Stegostoma tigrinum: one gene and its partner. The protein of the gene in region 2 interacts with the protein of the main gene of each other region in a pairwise test. Links are inferred from orthologs where the notes say so. Each region holds a gene or a part of one and is shown on either strand. Other genes may lie near its edges.

What was found. The genes of interacting proteins can lie anywhere in the genome.
Region 1: the proteins of cep76 (region 2) and cryba4 interact in binary tests that used the Homo sapiens proteins (3 or more experiments, as listed by UniProt). The two-hybrid records come from large-scale screens. The link is inferred for Stegostoma tigrinum from reciprocal best matches to the Homo sapiens genes CEP76 and CRYBA4.

Annotation. Positions count from the first base shown.
Region 1 is NC_081379.1:11,243,265-11,250,390, forward strand, and holds the start of cryba4 (beta-crystallin A4), read left to right. Parts: upstream 1-4,085; 5' UTR 4,086-4,126; exon of another isoform or gene 4,127-4,238; intron 4,239-7,126. UniProt on the Homo sapiens protein: Crystallins are the dominant structural components of the vertebrate eye lens.
Region 2 is NC_081358.1:117,632,269-117,639,734, forward strand, and holds the start of cep76 (centrosomal protein of 76 kDa), read right to left. Parts: upstream 3,046-7,466; 5' UTR 2,975-3,045; coding exon 2,876-2,974; intron 1-2,875. Other genes in the region: psmg2 (proteasome assembly chaperone 2), read left to right, coding at 3,763-3,828, 6,052-6,223. UniProt on the Homo sapiens protein: Centrosomal protein involved in regulation of centriole duplication. Required to limit centriole duplication to once per cell cycle by preventing centriole reduplication.

The DNA.
Region 1 (7,126 bases), on a different chromosome or scaffold from region 2:
ACTTTGACTGATGCTGAACAAAAATACACCCAGATCAAGCAGGAAGGTTTGGCGGTCATCTTCGGTGTGAGTGAGTTCCTTTATGGAAGTACATTTGTAATAATAACAGACAACAAAACCCCTGCTAGGCCTAGTTAAAGAGGACAGGGCCATGCTGCCCAAAGCTTTAGGTCAAATTCAGTAGAGGGCTCATATTCAAAATGCTTACAATTATAAGTTGGAACACCGTCCATGAAGCCAAGTGGTAAAAGTGGGTGCTCTCAGCTGTCTCCCTCTCATGGATATACCACCATTAGTCCCTCCACTGGAAGACTCTGTTCTGGTTTTAAACTTTCTGGACAACTTTCTGGCAATAGCAGAACATGGGCATAAAGACATCCTGTCCTAGCCAAACAACTGGTGGTGATGGAGTAACCAAAGGGCCATCACAACCAGGACTGAAACCTTCTTGAACCCACAGAGACTAGATCACCTTCAAGGACAGCATTTTATTATGGCAAGCAAGAGGGACTGACCCCAGCAGAGGTCTCCACCAGATACTGGCTGAAGTCCACTAGGGTCATCCATGGGGTTTCAAAAATGAAGATGCTGGTGAGAAGTTATTTCTGGTGGCCAGGATTGGATGCAGACATAGTCGTGTTGGTGGGGCAGTATCCAGAGTGCCAACAAGAACAAAAATTACCTCTAGTAGCTCCCCAACATTCGTGGAAATGGCCGGGTAAATGCTGGACTCGGTTACACATTGACTATGCCAATCCTTTCATGGGTTCTATGCTCTTAGTCATTGCGGATGCCCATTCAAAGTGGTTGAACATGCATAGAGTTCATTCATTAAACGCCGGGATTTGAAATGCTGCAAGCACCTTTTGCAATACACAGACTCCCAGATGTATTGGTCGCAGACAATGGGCCATCATTTACCAGCAGAGAGTTTGAGTATTTCTTAAAGTTGGATGGCATTAGGCATGTAAGGACAACTCCATGCAATGACCTGGCACAAAAAGCTGTCCAAACTTTGAATACAGGCTTGAAGAAATAGCCTGCAGCTTCAAACTATCCTGGTTCCTGTTTGATTATAGGTCCACCCCTCATGCAGCTACAGGGATAGCTCCAGCAGAGTTGCTAATGGGGAGAAGACTCTGCATCAGGTTAAATGTGATCTTCCTGGACCTGGGTTGAAGGGTGAACAGCATCAGGAATGCCAATGCTGGACACAAGACTCCTCTAAGCGAGAGAGACAGTTTATCTCAGGGGACAATGTTTGGTGCCAAAGCCACTAGAATGGCCCTGCAAGTGTAAGACGCATGGTCGATGTAACCTTAGGTCCCGTGACATACAAAGTTCAAGGAGGTGAGGCGATCCTGAGCAAGCAGGTGGACCCTAATGAAAGCTGCAGCCTTGCAAACAGGGAAGAAGCAAAACCTACCCAGCCCCTCAGAAATTCAGCAAGGCTGTTGGAGCTCTTAGGTTCTGTCCCCCGCCTCCGCCTAGCACCAAAGAAAACTCTGAGGATGAAATAGGCACAGCAGATGCCACAGCCTTAGCAACACTACCACCTGAAGAGGACTAATTGCTTCTGAAATGGTCTGGGCACAAGAGGTGGGCCACAGTCCAGTACGCAACACCCGTGTCTGAGGCAGAGTCGGAAGAACTGAACCTGGTGTGAAAACACCCGGGAGAAGCTACAAGAAAAAGAATGGGCCTACATCTCAGGGCTTAGAGAGGGGAGGAATGTAGTAACTAGATCAGGGTCAGCCAGGTGGACCTCATAGAATATGAGTTCCCTGATTGGGGCAGTTAACCAGGTCCAATCAGGGAGCCTTGGCTGACAGATATAAACAGGGGTATCAGGGGTTCTCTTCACCCTTGTGGTCAGCTCTGTGCTAGCTGGTTTAGTGTCATGTACTGTGCATGTGTAAATAAAGGGTGACTTGGTGATGGGACACCAGCCTCTGGAGTTATTTCACAGCAAGGTGAGACTTGGATTTTAAAATCTACTGGATTGTGGGGACAGGGAGAGCTGAGGAAAGAAAGAGAATCGATTGGTTAGAAATCCAGCAGAAAAAAAACAAATTTGAGGGAATGACTCCTGATACAATCAAAATGCAAGGACTGAAAGTGATATTTGAGACACAGCATTTAACATTGGGAACAATAACCACCAAAATGTCACCTTCAGAATTGTATCGAATACTTAGTCATTTACTTAAAATACAAAGCTTGTTTTCTGCCTTGACTTTCAGCTTTCACAGTGAAGGAGACATGATAGAAATTAAGGAGAAGGAAGATCTGGTAACAAGCTAATATCATAAGGTAAGTGCAATGTTGTGCTCTGTTTGCACTGTACCACTCAAAACCTACTTCACACACCACACATTCATATTTGGTAGGGTTCTCTTTTACCACCACAGTCTTGTTTATTGAATTTGTTTGCAATAATGTTTGCAGTAATGTAATGATCTTTAAGGGGAAACGTTAGAGTGAATCTATGGATGCTATGTTCACCACAGTGCAGCCTGTGTGTCACGCTCAGGAACACACTGAAATATTTTATTAGTGGTTATGAAAGCTGGATGATCCTGATATATAACACCAAATAGAGGTTTGTCCTGACGATGGAAGAGGGAAATGTGATGTGACATCAAGACAAAGAAAGCCATCTTGCTGTGGTTCTTTCCAAACCAAGTTACTGTAAAATGATTAGTAAGGATGGATTCATGTTGGTATCACCCTGGTTTCTGAGTCGAAATATTTGGGTTCAAATGTAGTGCATGAGCACAAAACCTAGGCTTGCCATACTGATGGAGAGCTAAACTGCCAGCACCGTATTCTTTTAAATCATGTCTACCTGGCTCTTGGGTGAATGTAAGATGTTCCATGACACCACTTCATAGAAAAGTGGGAGAGCTCACCATCCACGTTCCTTACCAATATCAATCCCTGAGCCAACTCTCAAATAGAGAGGATTTAATCATCACCATGACAATCTGTGGGGGTTTGCGGTGAGCAAATAGGCTTACTCATTTCTGACAGTAGCTATATTTCATCAAGGAGTTAATTGGCTGGAACACTCTTTGAGACAATCAGAAGTCTCATCTTTCTCTTAACACCAGCAGATTGTCAAATTATAGAATCCCTACAGTGTGGAAGGAGGCCATTTGGCCCATCATGTCCACACCAACCCTCCAAAGAGCATCCCACCCATTCCCATCCTCTATTCTATCCCTGTAATTCCCATGGTTAATCCACTCAGCCTGTACATCTCTGGTCACTAGGGGCAATTTAGTATGGCCAACCCAGCTAACCGGTGCAACTTTTGACTGTAGGAAGAAACCCACGCAGACTTAGGGAGAATGTGCAAACTGCACATTTACATTTGCCTGATGGTGGAGTCGAATCTAGAGTCCCTAGTGCTGTGCTGCAGCATTTCTAACCAGTGAACCACTGTGCCATCTAAATGATGATAACCTGAGAATTTAATATATGCCCAATGCAAAGGCTCCTCTATTGACAAACAACATTGCCCAATGTTATACTGAGTTCCACAGAACAGACTGCTCTGCTCAATCTACAATGAGGTAGCTGACCTGAACCTTAGGTGGTATAGAGAGGAACCGGAATAAATTTTCAACTTATCACCAAAGTCTAAGAATTGGCGCTGCTGGCCAGCTGTACGCTGTGGAGGTATTTCAGTGATCACCAGTTTTGGCTTCAGATTTAACGATGGGCAGCTGACCCAGAATGCCCATATAGCAAATTGGTAAACAATCCCACTGTATTTGATCTCTATGTTGTTGGGCACAGCGTTGGGTTCAGTAACTCGTTGTTGAAGAGTTGGACTCAAGCTGTAGGTGCTGTGTAATAAGTTGCTGGGTCAAATGGTTAATGCTAAAGTTATTTTTACTGAAATGATGTGCTTGCAGTATTCTTCATGCTTTCCTCTGTTAACTATAGATCATGACATTGTTGCGAACACAATAAACTCTTGATGAATCCCCTCCCCTGCTGCTGAGCTAGGGGTTTGATGAATGCAGGTCTCTGCAATTGACTCTGCTTAAAGTGTGAGCTATAAAAACCCTGAGAGGGAGCGACTTGGTATCAGAGCTGTGCATTCCAGTCTACAAAGGTGAGTGTTGCCATGTTTGAGAAAATACACTGTAATTGGTGTACAGTATATGGATCCACTGTAGGAGGACCATAACCAAAAATACTGGAACAAAATAGTTGAAAGAGAGAAGGTGAGTCTGGTTAAATAACATTTGTGGCTCTGAAGAAAAGATTTTTGAGTTCATCAATAAATCTTAACATTGCGTAGAACCTCGGCTCCACAGTTGAAGTTCAGTGACCAGTTTTGGTGTCTGTAGTGCAGAAAACTGTACAATGTGCATAAAAATTATTTGTGCAGGGTGCTAACAGGGGATACAGTTATCTGGTAAAAAAAACAACTGAACAGGCTCTTCTCTCCAGAAATGAGAAAGCTAGAGGGATAATCACGTAGAAGTCATTAACATGCAGTTTAGGGATTGATGGAGTAGATGTGTAGAAGATGTTTCCATTTGTGGGTAAGTTCAAAACTGGGAGGGGGTGTCGTGAAATCTAACACAGTCACTAATAAAACACAGACATGCCAGAAAAGCTTGTGTAGGCAGAGTGTGGCTAGGTTGTGGAAATTATCATGGCGGGGAGTAGCTCAGATGAGTATTTGGATGTATTTAAGGGGAGGTTCAATTATTAATGCATTTGTTACATTCAGGGAGTCCACGTTGCTGTGGCAACAGGCACTTTTACACACATGTTGTTGCCTGGAGCTACGGATAGTGATAGCAGACAGTCCAACTTTCTCCTGATCACTCGGTTGACCAGGAACGTCTCCTGCTCTTCCTGCCTATCCCTGGCCTGCGCTGTCAGGATTTATGTTTTGGTGGGTATTGATTCTCAACTTACATACTCAACATACACTGCTGTGTTATGAAGAGATCAAGTGCTGGGTGACCCTCAAACCCAGAGGCAGGAACACTATTCACTGCTCCATAAAACCATTTAGCTAGTAAGAACCTACATGTGAGAAAAGGAATAGAGATAGAGTGGGAGGAAGATTGTGTGGAATATGAACTTTGGCATGAACTTGTTGGGTCTAATGGACTGTTTCTGTGCTGTGGACCCTGTGTAATTTTACTTTCCTTTGATGTTGGGGCAGAGTGTTCAGTAACAAGACCTTTCAGTGTAATTTAGCAGAAGAAACAGGAGCAGGAGTAGGCCATTCAGCCCCTCAACCTGCTCTCCCATTCTTGATCTGCCCCTTGTTTCAACTCCTGATAGCCCTCAATGTGTGAAAAACCCTGGGTTTTGAGTTCAGTGAGCAGAGACCAGGGAGAGTGCCCTGTTTGTGGTGGGAGGGATCTAGGGATAGTGTAACTCTTGGTTCCCATTCCCAGATTAGTGCAGCAAGTCCAAAGGAGACTCACTATCAGGTGAGCAGGAGCTGGGATCTGGGAATGCCGTGTAGTTGGACACTAAAGTAACTGGTCATTAGAGTCCAGCAGGGTAGAATGGTTGTGGTCTCTCCCCTAGGCTCCATACCTTCATCCTCATTCTCCAAGGTGAAGATGGATGTGGCTCTGCCCACAGACTGTCTCCTTTGTCCCTAATGGGCCCTATTCTTTCTCTTTTGTTTTGGAAATTAATGAATCTGCTGCCACCACTGCCCACTCAGGCATTCCAGGACAGAATGACTGCTCACCCCTCACACAGGATAGTACTGTCCCTACAGTCAGCTTATGGTGTACCTTCTATCCCGAGGACAAGGCAATGTCAAACCACTTCAATGCTTTGCCCAGAGTGTGGTCTGACCAATGGGAATCCATGGCAAAGATAGATAGTTCTTGAGGATAGGGTATGGTTGCATTGGCACAGGTGCCCAAGGAGGGCAAGCTTCACATGTGGCACATATGGATTCCTGCAATGAGTGGTATGCAATCTGCCAGCGAGAGTATTATTGAAGAATGTGCACTGTCATCATTTGATGGTCACAACTAGACTTTAACCAGGAATGGCAATCAGTGAAATCCTGGCTGACTTCCTGTCACTTCCCTTAAGCTCCAGGAGTCAATTATTAGGCACTACTTTGAACTCAGTCTAAAACCTGCCACTTCAACAGAGACCATGAGCTTCAGACTTTCCCGTTGTAGAAAGAATCATAAAGTCATAGATCACAGAAGAGACCCTTTGGCCCATTCAGTCTGTGCCAAACTATCTACACTATTCCCACTTACCAACACATGACTCACGGCCTTGAATGTTGTGACATTTCAAGTGCTCACCTGTGTACTTTTTTAAAGGGTGTGAGATTTCCTGTGTCAACTCCCTTCCCAGGCAGTGCATTCCAGATTCCCACCATCCTCTAGTTGAAAAAACAATTTCCCCAATCCCCTCTAAACTGCCTGTCCTTCACCTTAACATTATGGCCCCTTGTTACTGATTCTTCAACTAAGGGGAGCAGCTGTATCCTATCCACCCTGTACATGGCCCTCATGATCTTACCCCACCACCCCCCTACCCAAAATCAGGTCCCCACTCAGCCTTCTTTGCTCTGAAGAAAACAACCTGAGTTTAACCAGCCTCTCTCCATAAATTGTTCCATCTCAGGCAACACCCTGGTGAATCTCCTCCACACCCATTCCATTGCAATCACATCCTTCCTGTACTGTGGTGACCAGGACCTCACACAGTGCTCCAGCTGGGACCTATCCAAAGTTTTGTATAGTCCCATACAGCTCACATACGAACACACGGTTCCCACACAGACCCTGGTCAGAACAAAGCAGCCTTGATGACCAGCCAAAATGCCCAGCAATGTAGACTGGCAGCTGAAACTTGCTGCCCAGGCAACCACATGAAAAATGTCCACTGAGTGTGGTACCAGAAGACTAGAGGTGCCAGCTAGAGGGCTGTGTTTAGTTCTTGGCATCACATTACTAGAAGGATATGATTGAACCGGAGGGAGTGAAGAGGAGAACCACCACGATGCTGACGGGGGTGGAAAATTTAAGTGACGCGGAACGGTTGGACAGGCTTAGGTTATTTTCATTGTAGCAGAGAAGACTGAAGGGGGTGATCTGACTGAGGT
Region 2 (7,466 bases):
TAACGTTTCATCCCCTTGGTAATAAAGAAGCTATTTCCCTCTGCTTTTGAAAATATTTAAAGATTCTGTTGACTGCCATTTGAGGAATGGAACTTCAAAGACTCTCAACCCTGTTTTTTCTTCCAACCAACCCCCCTCATCTCTGTCCCTAAATGGATGACTCTTTACTTTTAAATTGTGACCTCTAGTTCCTGATTCTCACACGAGAAAACATGTTTTTGACATCCGCTGGTCAAGATCCTTTAAGATTCAAATCACCTTGATACTTCTAAACTCCAGTTACAGGCTGAACCTGTCCGTCCTTTCCTCAAAGGGAATTGGCTCATTCCAAGTATTGGTCCAGTAAACCTTTTATGAACGGCTTCCAATGCATTAACACCAGTTCAAAACTACAGTGATCAGTACTGTACACAGTACTCCAGATGTAGTTTCACCAGTACCCTGCACAACTCCTCTACTCTCACATACAATTCCCGTTGCAATAAAACACGTTATCTGCTTTCCTGATTATTTGCCTGGTTACTGCATATTAACCACCTGTGATTCTCACACTAGGACACCCGGATCTTTCTGCAACCTCTCACTACTTAGATATCATGCTTCTTTATCTTTCTGCCAAAAAATTCTCAGATTGTATGTGAGAACAGAGAACAAATAACTAATGTTGTTCCTCTGTTCAAGAAGGGAAACAAGGATAATCCAGGAAACCACAGACCAGTAAGTTGCACATTGGTGGATAGGAAGCTATTGGAGAGAATTCTTAGGGTTAGGATTTACATTTATTTGGAAAAGCATGGCCTAGTTAGGGACAGTCAGCACGACTTTGTGCCTAGCAGGTCATATCTCACTAACTTGATTGAATTTTTCGAGGTGTTGATAAAGGTGATCGATAAGGTAGAGCAGTAGATATTGTCTATATGGATTTTAATAAAGCTTTTGACAAGGTCCCTGATGGGACTCATCCAGAAGATTAAGATGCATGGGATCCACAGTGACTTGGCTGCTTAGATTCAGAACTGGCTTGTCCATGGAAGGCAAGAGGGTAGCAGTGGGAGGGTGTTTTGCTGGCTAGCGGTCCACGAATGTTGGTGTTCAGTAGGGATCCATACTGGGATGCCTGCTGTTTGTGATATATATAAATGACTTGGACGAAAATGTAGATGGATGGGTTAGTAAGTTTACAGATGATACAAAAAAAAATATCACTGGAGTTATGGGCAATGTAGAAGATTTTCAAAGGATACAGCGGGATATAGATCAGTTGCAGAGATATAGTCAGAGAAATGGCAGATGGAGTTTAATCCAGATGCTATATTTTTGGAAGATCAAACGTTAGGAAAAAGTGTAGCTAATGGGAGGACCCTGAACAGCACTGGATCTTGGGGGGTTAAAGGCCATAACTCCCCAAAAATGGCCACACAAGGAGCTAGCATTGTAAAGCATGCTTGCTTTTGTTGATCAGGGAATGGAGTGCAACAGTCATGATGTCATGTTGCAGCTTTAGAAGATTTTGGTTAGGCCATAATTCTAGTTGTCAAACTACATGAAGGATGTGGACGCTTTGGAGAGGGTGCACAAGAGATTTTTGCGGATGCTTCCTGGATTAGAGGGTACGAGGAAAGGATAGTAAAACTTGGGCTGTTTTCTCTGGAGTGGCAAAGGCTGAGCAGAGACTTGACAGAAGTCTATAAAATGATGAGATGCATACATAGGGTTGACAGTCAGAATCTTTCCACACCCCCCCCCCCGAGAACTGAAATGTCTAATACGAGGGGGCATGTATTTAAGGTGACAGGGAAAAGTTCAAAGGAGATGCGAGAGGCAAAGTTGTATTCTCTTTTTAATAGTGTGGTAAGAGTCCAGAACGTGCTGCCAAGGTGATGGTGGAGACATGTACAATAGGGGCATTTATGGAAATTTTAAATAAGCACATGAATATGCATGGAATGGGGGGGGGGGGGAGAGAGATATGGACAAGTGCAAGCAAAAGGAATAACTTTAATTTGGCATCATATTTGGCACACTATGGACCAAAGGGCCATTCCTGTGCTGTGCTGTTCTATGTTCCATGTATCAGATAATTTCCCACTCACAACCTATATCCCTCTGAAGGCTCCTAATACCTTCTTCACAACTTACTTTCTTACCTAGCGGCATCATGAGCAAATTTAGCCAGCATACGCAATGTTGACGGCTCTTGACAGGTCACAGTCATAGATTTACAACACAGAAACAGGCCCTTTTGCCCAATGAGTCTGCACTAATCCATCTATTCTAGTCCCACTTTCCAACACTTAGCTCATAGTTTTGGATGGTATTCCAAGTGTATGTGGAAAGGAGAATCTAGATCTACAAGTCACTATTTAAAAATACAGGGTTATCCATTCAAAACAAAGATAAGTAGAAATGCTTTCTCAAAGAGAGACAGGAGTCTGTGATCCTCTGTTCATCAAAAGGCAGTTGAATAGAGTTCTTAAATGTTTTCAAGGCAGTCATGATCTTATTGGAGCAGGCAGAACAGCTCGAAGGGCTGAATGGCCTACTTCTGCTCATGATTTGTATATTAAATCTACAAAGAGGTAAACAGTTAACATGAACTGTTTCTGGCTTTACACAGATGCTGCATTTTGCTTTACACAGATTTCGCACGTTTTCTCCTATTATTTCAGATCCATAGTATTTGCTCTCATTCAAAGATCATAACTCAACAGGTTAAATTATTATGAAATGCAACTCGTAAAAAGAGGTCAAGAGCTAAAAAGTTAACCATTATTGTTGTAGCTGATTAGACATAATCTGGGATATGGACGGCGGCCTCACGCATCTTGGGCGACATCAAGGCCCCAGCCCGAGGCTGGACGCGGTGAGAGCTCACCTGGGTCAGCTGATTGTGAATGATTTGCTTGAGTTCCAAAGCCTTTTCTGGCGGCAGCGACATAGCGCTAGGGACCGTTTTACCAGGGTTTATCAACATGCACAACCAGCAGCCCAACACAAAAACAACTCGCCGCCAGCCAACCGTCTCTGCAGTCGACAAACACCACCCCTTCCTCCCAACAGCCCTCAAGCCCCGCCTATCACCACCCTCCAATCAGCATCTAGCCCCGCCCTTATCTCCAGTAGCAACTGCAGCCACCACCCAAACACAGCAACGCACCATCCCACCAACGGCCATTAGGCCCCGCCCTCTTACTGACGGACATCGAACTGCGCACACCTCCAAAACACCACATAAAAACGGAAAGAGAACCGACACGTTAATTCTGTGATGTTTTTGTTCACAGGTGCGGCCAGACCTTTTCCAGCAACTTCATGTTTCCAAAAGACCAAACCGACAGCGTTTCAACCCCGTAACCGCACTCACCAACTCTGCTAGACAACCACCCAGGCCAGCCTCACACTGATTACGACAAAGCCCCCCGCCCCCACAATATTTCAAGCCCCGCCCCTTCATCGGCTCACGGCTCGCGCTCTAAGTTTGAAGGCTTGAAAACGAAGCGGGAATTTCACCTCGCGCTTGCCCGTTCAACTGTCTGGCACAATGCTAAAAAAATCTGCAACAACTGGATTTGATCGCTCAACGTTGCAAAGCACAGCTGTAGCTAGTTGCTGCCTATAATAAGTGCGATTTTAAGAAAAACAACGCTCGTGCGCCCATGCCTCGCAATTTTGCGACGCTCTCAATGTATTGCCCACCCCGTGTCTGGGAAGAGGGAACGTCATCAGAAAGCGCCTAGCGGTTGAAGGAATTCAGGTGGTGGAATGGAGACGGTTTTCGTTCCGAGTGGGAATGGCTCCGTAAGCCTGAAAGGCTACACTCTGGTCATGGTAGGTAACTGAACAGTTATAAGAAATAGGAACTGGAGCAGGCCACTCGGCGTCTCGAACCTGCCTCACCATTCAAGGTGTAGAGCTGGGTGAACACAGCAGGCCAAGCAGCATCATTTCGGGCCCTTCCCCGCCTCCATTCTGAAGAAGGTCCTAGGCCTGAAACGTCAGCTTTCCTGCTCCTCTGATGCTGCTTGGCCTGCTGTGTTCATCCAGCTCCACACTTTGTTATCTCGGATTCTCCAGCATCTGCAGTTCCTACTATCTCTGCTTCATTGTTTAGTAGGATCGTGGCTGATCTGACGTTTTTCAAGAGATAACAAGGTGTAGACCTGGATGATCACAGCAGGCCAAGCAGCTTCAGGGGAGCAGGAAAGCTAACGTTTCGGGTCGAGACCCTTCTTCAGAAGAAGGGTCGTCTTCTTTCTGATAAAGGGTCTAGGCCCGAAATGTCAGCTTTCCTGTTCCTGCTCCTCTGATGATGCTTGGCCTGCTGTGTTCATCCAGCTCTACACCTTGTTATCTCGGATTCTCCAGCATCTGCAGTTCCTACTATGTCTGGCATTTCTCAAGTCCGCTTTCCTGCCTCTTTGCCATAACCCTTGATTTTCCCCAACTGGTCACAAATCTATCGATCTCAGTCTTAAATATACACGAGGACTCTTACCCCCATAGCCTTCTGTGGCAAGGAGTTCCAAAGACTCAACCCTGTGAAGGAAGAAATTCCTCCTCATGTCAGTTTTAAATTGGCTCCCTTTTATTCTGAGTCCATGTCCTCTGCTGTTAGACTCTCTTGCAAGGCGAAATACCTTCTTGGCGTTTACTCTTTGACTTGCTAGATGAGTGGCCAAGGTCTGAGAGAGGCCTCTGAATAGTATAAACCAATTAAGCCAAATGGCCTGTTGCCATGCTGCTAAGTTCAGTGTCATTTCATTCTGTGTAAAGTGTGCCTTTAGCACGGTTTATGGGAACTGTTGAAGATGTGGACTTCGCTGTACTGTAGACTCATGCTGGGGTTGCACCTACATTGGCCTTGTCCTCCTACATGGATCTACTTGACCTGATTTCTTGCAGATGTAACGTGTTGCTCCTAGTTTTCGTCCTCTTCCTCTCCTCAAAGGATGACATCAGTGTGTGGCAAATTGGGGTGAGTTGTGCATCCTCAAGGGATTCTGAAGGTATTGCTAGAGATGTGGGAAGTGGTCAATTGCATGAAAGGCTTTTACATGGGACACAGTTACTTGTGGCTAAGATTCCTTCCCACCACTGGCAATCATGTAGGAGAAAGTGAGTGTACGTGGCAAATATGTTAAAGACAACAGATGGGAACAAGATCAGAGAAACCTAGATGTCAAGGTTCATAAAGGTTAGAATTTTTAAAAAAATGAAGCCTACAGCAGGTACTGAATGTTCAATACAGAAGAGCCCCTAGAGAAATATGAAACTTAAAAAGGAGATTATGAAACCAAGAGACCGTATGAGAAATCATTGGTGGATAGAATAAAGGTTGTCTAGAACTAACTATCTGAAAGGGTTTTTGAGTCCAAAACTCATTCTTTAGATATTCACTTGTGTTGCCATAGTTTCCAGAGCTTTGGTCCATAAGCTAGGAAATGGGATTAGTGGGATCAGATCTTTGAGGACACAATGATGCCAAATGGCCTCCTTGTGCACCATAAATATGAGTTTGAGGCTGAAGACTGCTTGAGAAGGATGGGAAAGAATTAGGCACTACAGTCACAGGTATATAATTTCTGTTTTGTGACTTTGGTAAAGGCCATTTGAATATGTTGCAAACCTGGAGTTGCAGGCAAGATGGCCACTGATCTGGGAGTTGACAACACTTTAGGAGAGCAAAGGGAGCTTGGAAGATGATATTTGCAATGACAGCCTGGCCAGTGTGGATACTTGCTATTCAGCCCAACTAGAACTTGTTAGTCTAAAACAGGACTATGGAATATTATCATGATGTGAATCATTCCTAAACCTTTCTCAATATCAAGTCTACTATGGGTGGATGAAAATGAGGAGGAAGATGCAGCGAACACCACATGAATATGTACATTTTAAAAAAAAAAAATTTCCAATGCATTTAAAATAAGGTATGGCCAAAGTCTTACTCTTGTGTGTTGTTTCTGTGGAACCACAAAAGATCAAGTTAGTCATGTGGCAGAATGCAGTGAACACGTAACTTTTAAATAACTGAGCTTTTTGATGTTCCAGCCAGTTGTGTCTGTGGGTAATGTTGGTCAGCTAACGGTGGATCTGATCATTTCTACACTCACATTACCAAGGGTTGGTTATATCCACAGTGACTGCCTCCTTCCGGTGGTGGGAAACAATCCATATGCAACAACTTTGGAGAACTCAACAGAAATGTGTGTCAGCTCTGAAGGTGAGTGAGAGGGTAAAAGTGTGAAAAACTCTGATATAATATATCTAGGAATTTACATTTAGAAAACAAAAATCCAAGGTTCAATCCTCAAGAATTCCGGAGATATTTGGGGGTTGTGCCCTAGATATAATTAGAAAAGTGATAATCGTTCCATCCAGCAAGGCCAGATTGTGGTCAGTAGCATGAAAGGCTGTAGACTGCTCAAGAAGAATGAGGAGGGATTGTACAATGTGATCATGAATATGTAATCTGTCCTTTGCAACTGTGATTGATTAATAAAGTCATTTTAGTGTTGTGCAGGGGCAGAAACCAGGTACTTTCAGGGAGTTTTTAAAAGTTTGTGAAAGAGATAAATGAATCTGATTTGAGGCAAATTGTTCACTCTCATCAGTAATTAAAACACTACGTAATAAAAGTTTAAATGAAGTTGGCCCTTTTATAAGGCAAAGTTGTACACTATAAGAAATGGCACAAGTCTTTGTGAAACAGTTGGATGTGTTCAGAGAAAGAGTTAAGATGTCATTGGCAATTGCATGTTAATGATTGTCCACTGATGATGTGTTGTCTGATGAAAAGCTACTTAAACACTCAATGGTCTTTAACCTGTCTTCAAAATTCTTATTGCAGTTTTATTTACTTAATTATCCCTTTGAAGTGTAGCAAAGCTTTTTTTCCATTTGGTTTTTGGATATGAGTATCACTAGCAAGGCCAGTGTTTATTTCTTATCCCAAATTACTCAAGAAACTAGATCATTTCAGAGCGAAGTACGTTGCTGTGGATCTGGAGTCATGTGTAGGTCGTACTAGGTAAGGATGGCATATTGCCTTCACTGTAGGTCATTGACATAAGACTCTTCTGGTTCAATAACCATGTAGTTTATGAGCATTTATTAATGAGACTAATATATTATTATGGATTTATTGATTCAATTTTCAATTTCCCATCTGTTGTGCTCGAAGTTGATCCCATGTCTCTAAAGCAATAGAAGCATTCACTCCACAGACGTTGCAAGACCTTCTCTGTTTCTCCAGCACAGAGATAATATTAAAAACATTCGTCAAGGGTTCTGGCTAATCAAATATCGTTACTACCATGCCTTTGTTCCCCCTTTTAAGTTCATTGTGCCAACAACAAGAAGGCAGATGACAGTAATTTGTGTGAACCTGTATTTGAAGACTACAGTAGCTGATTAATTTTTATGCAGCAATCTCTTCCACAGTCCTTAATTTTAAAGAAGTCTTT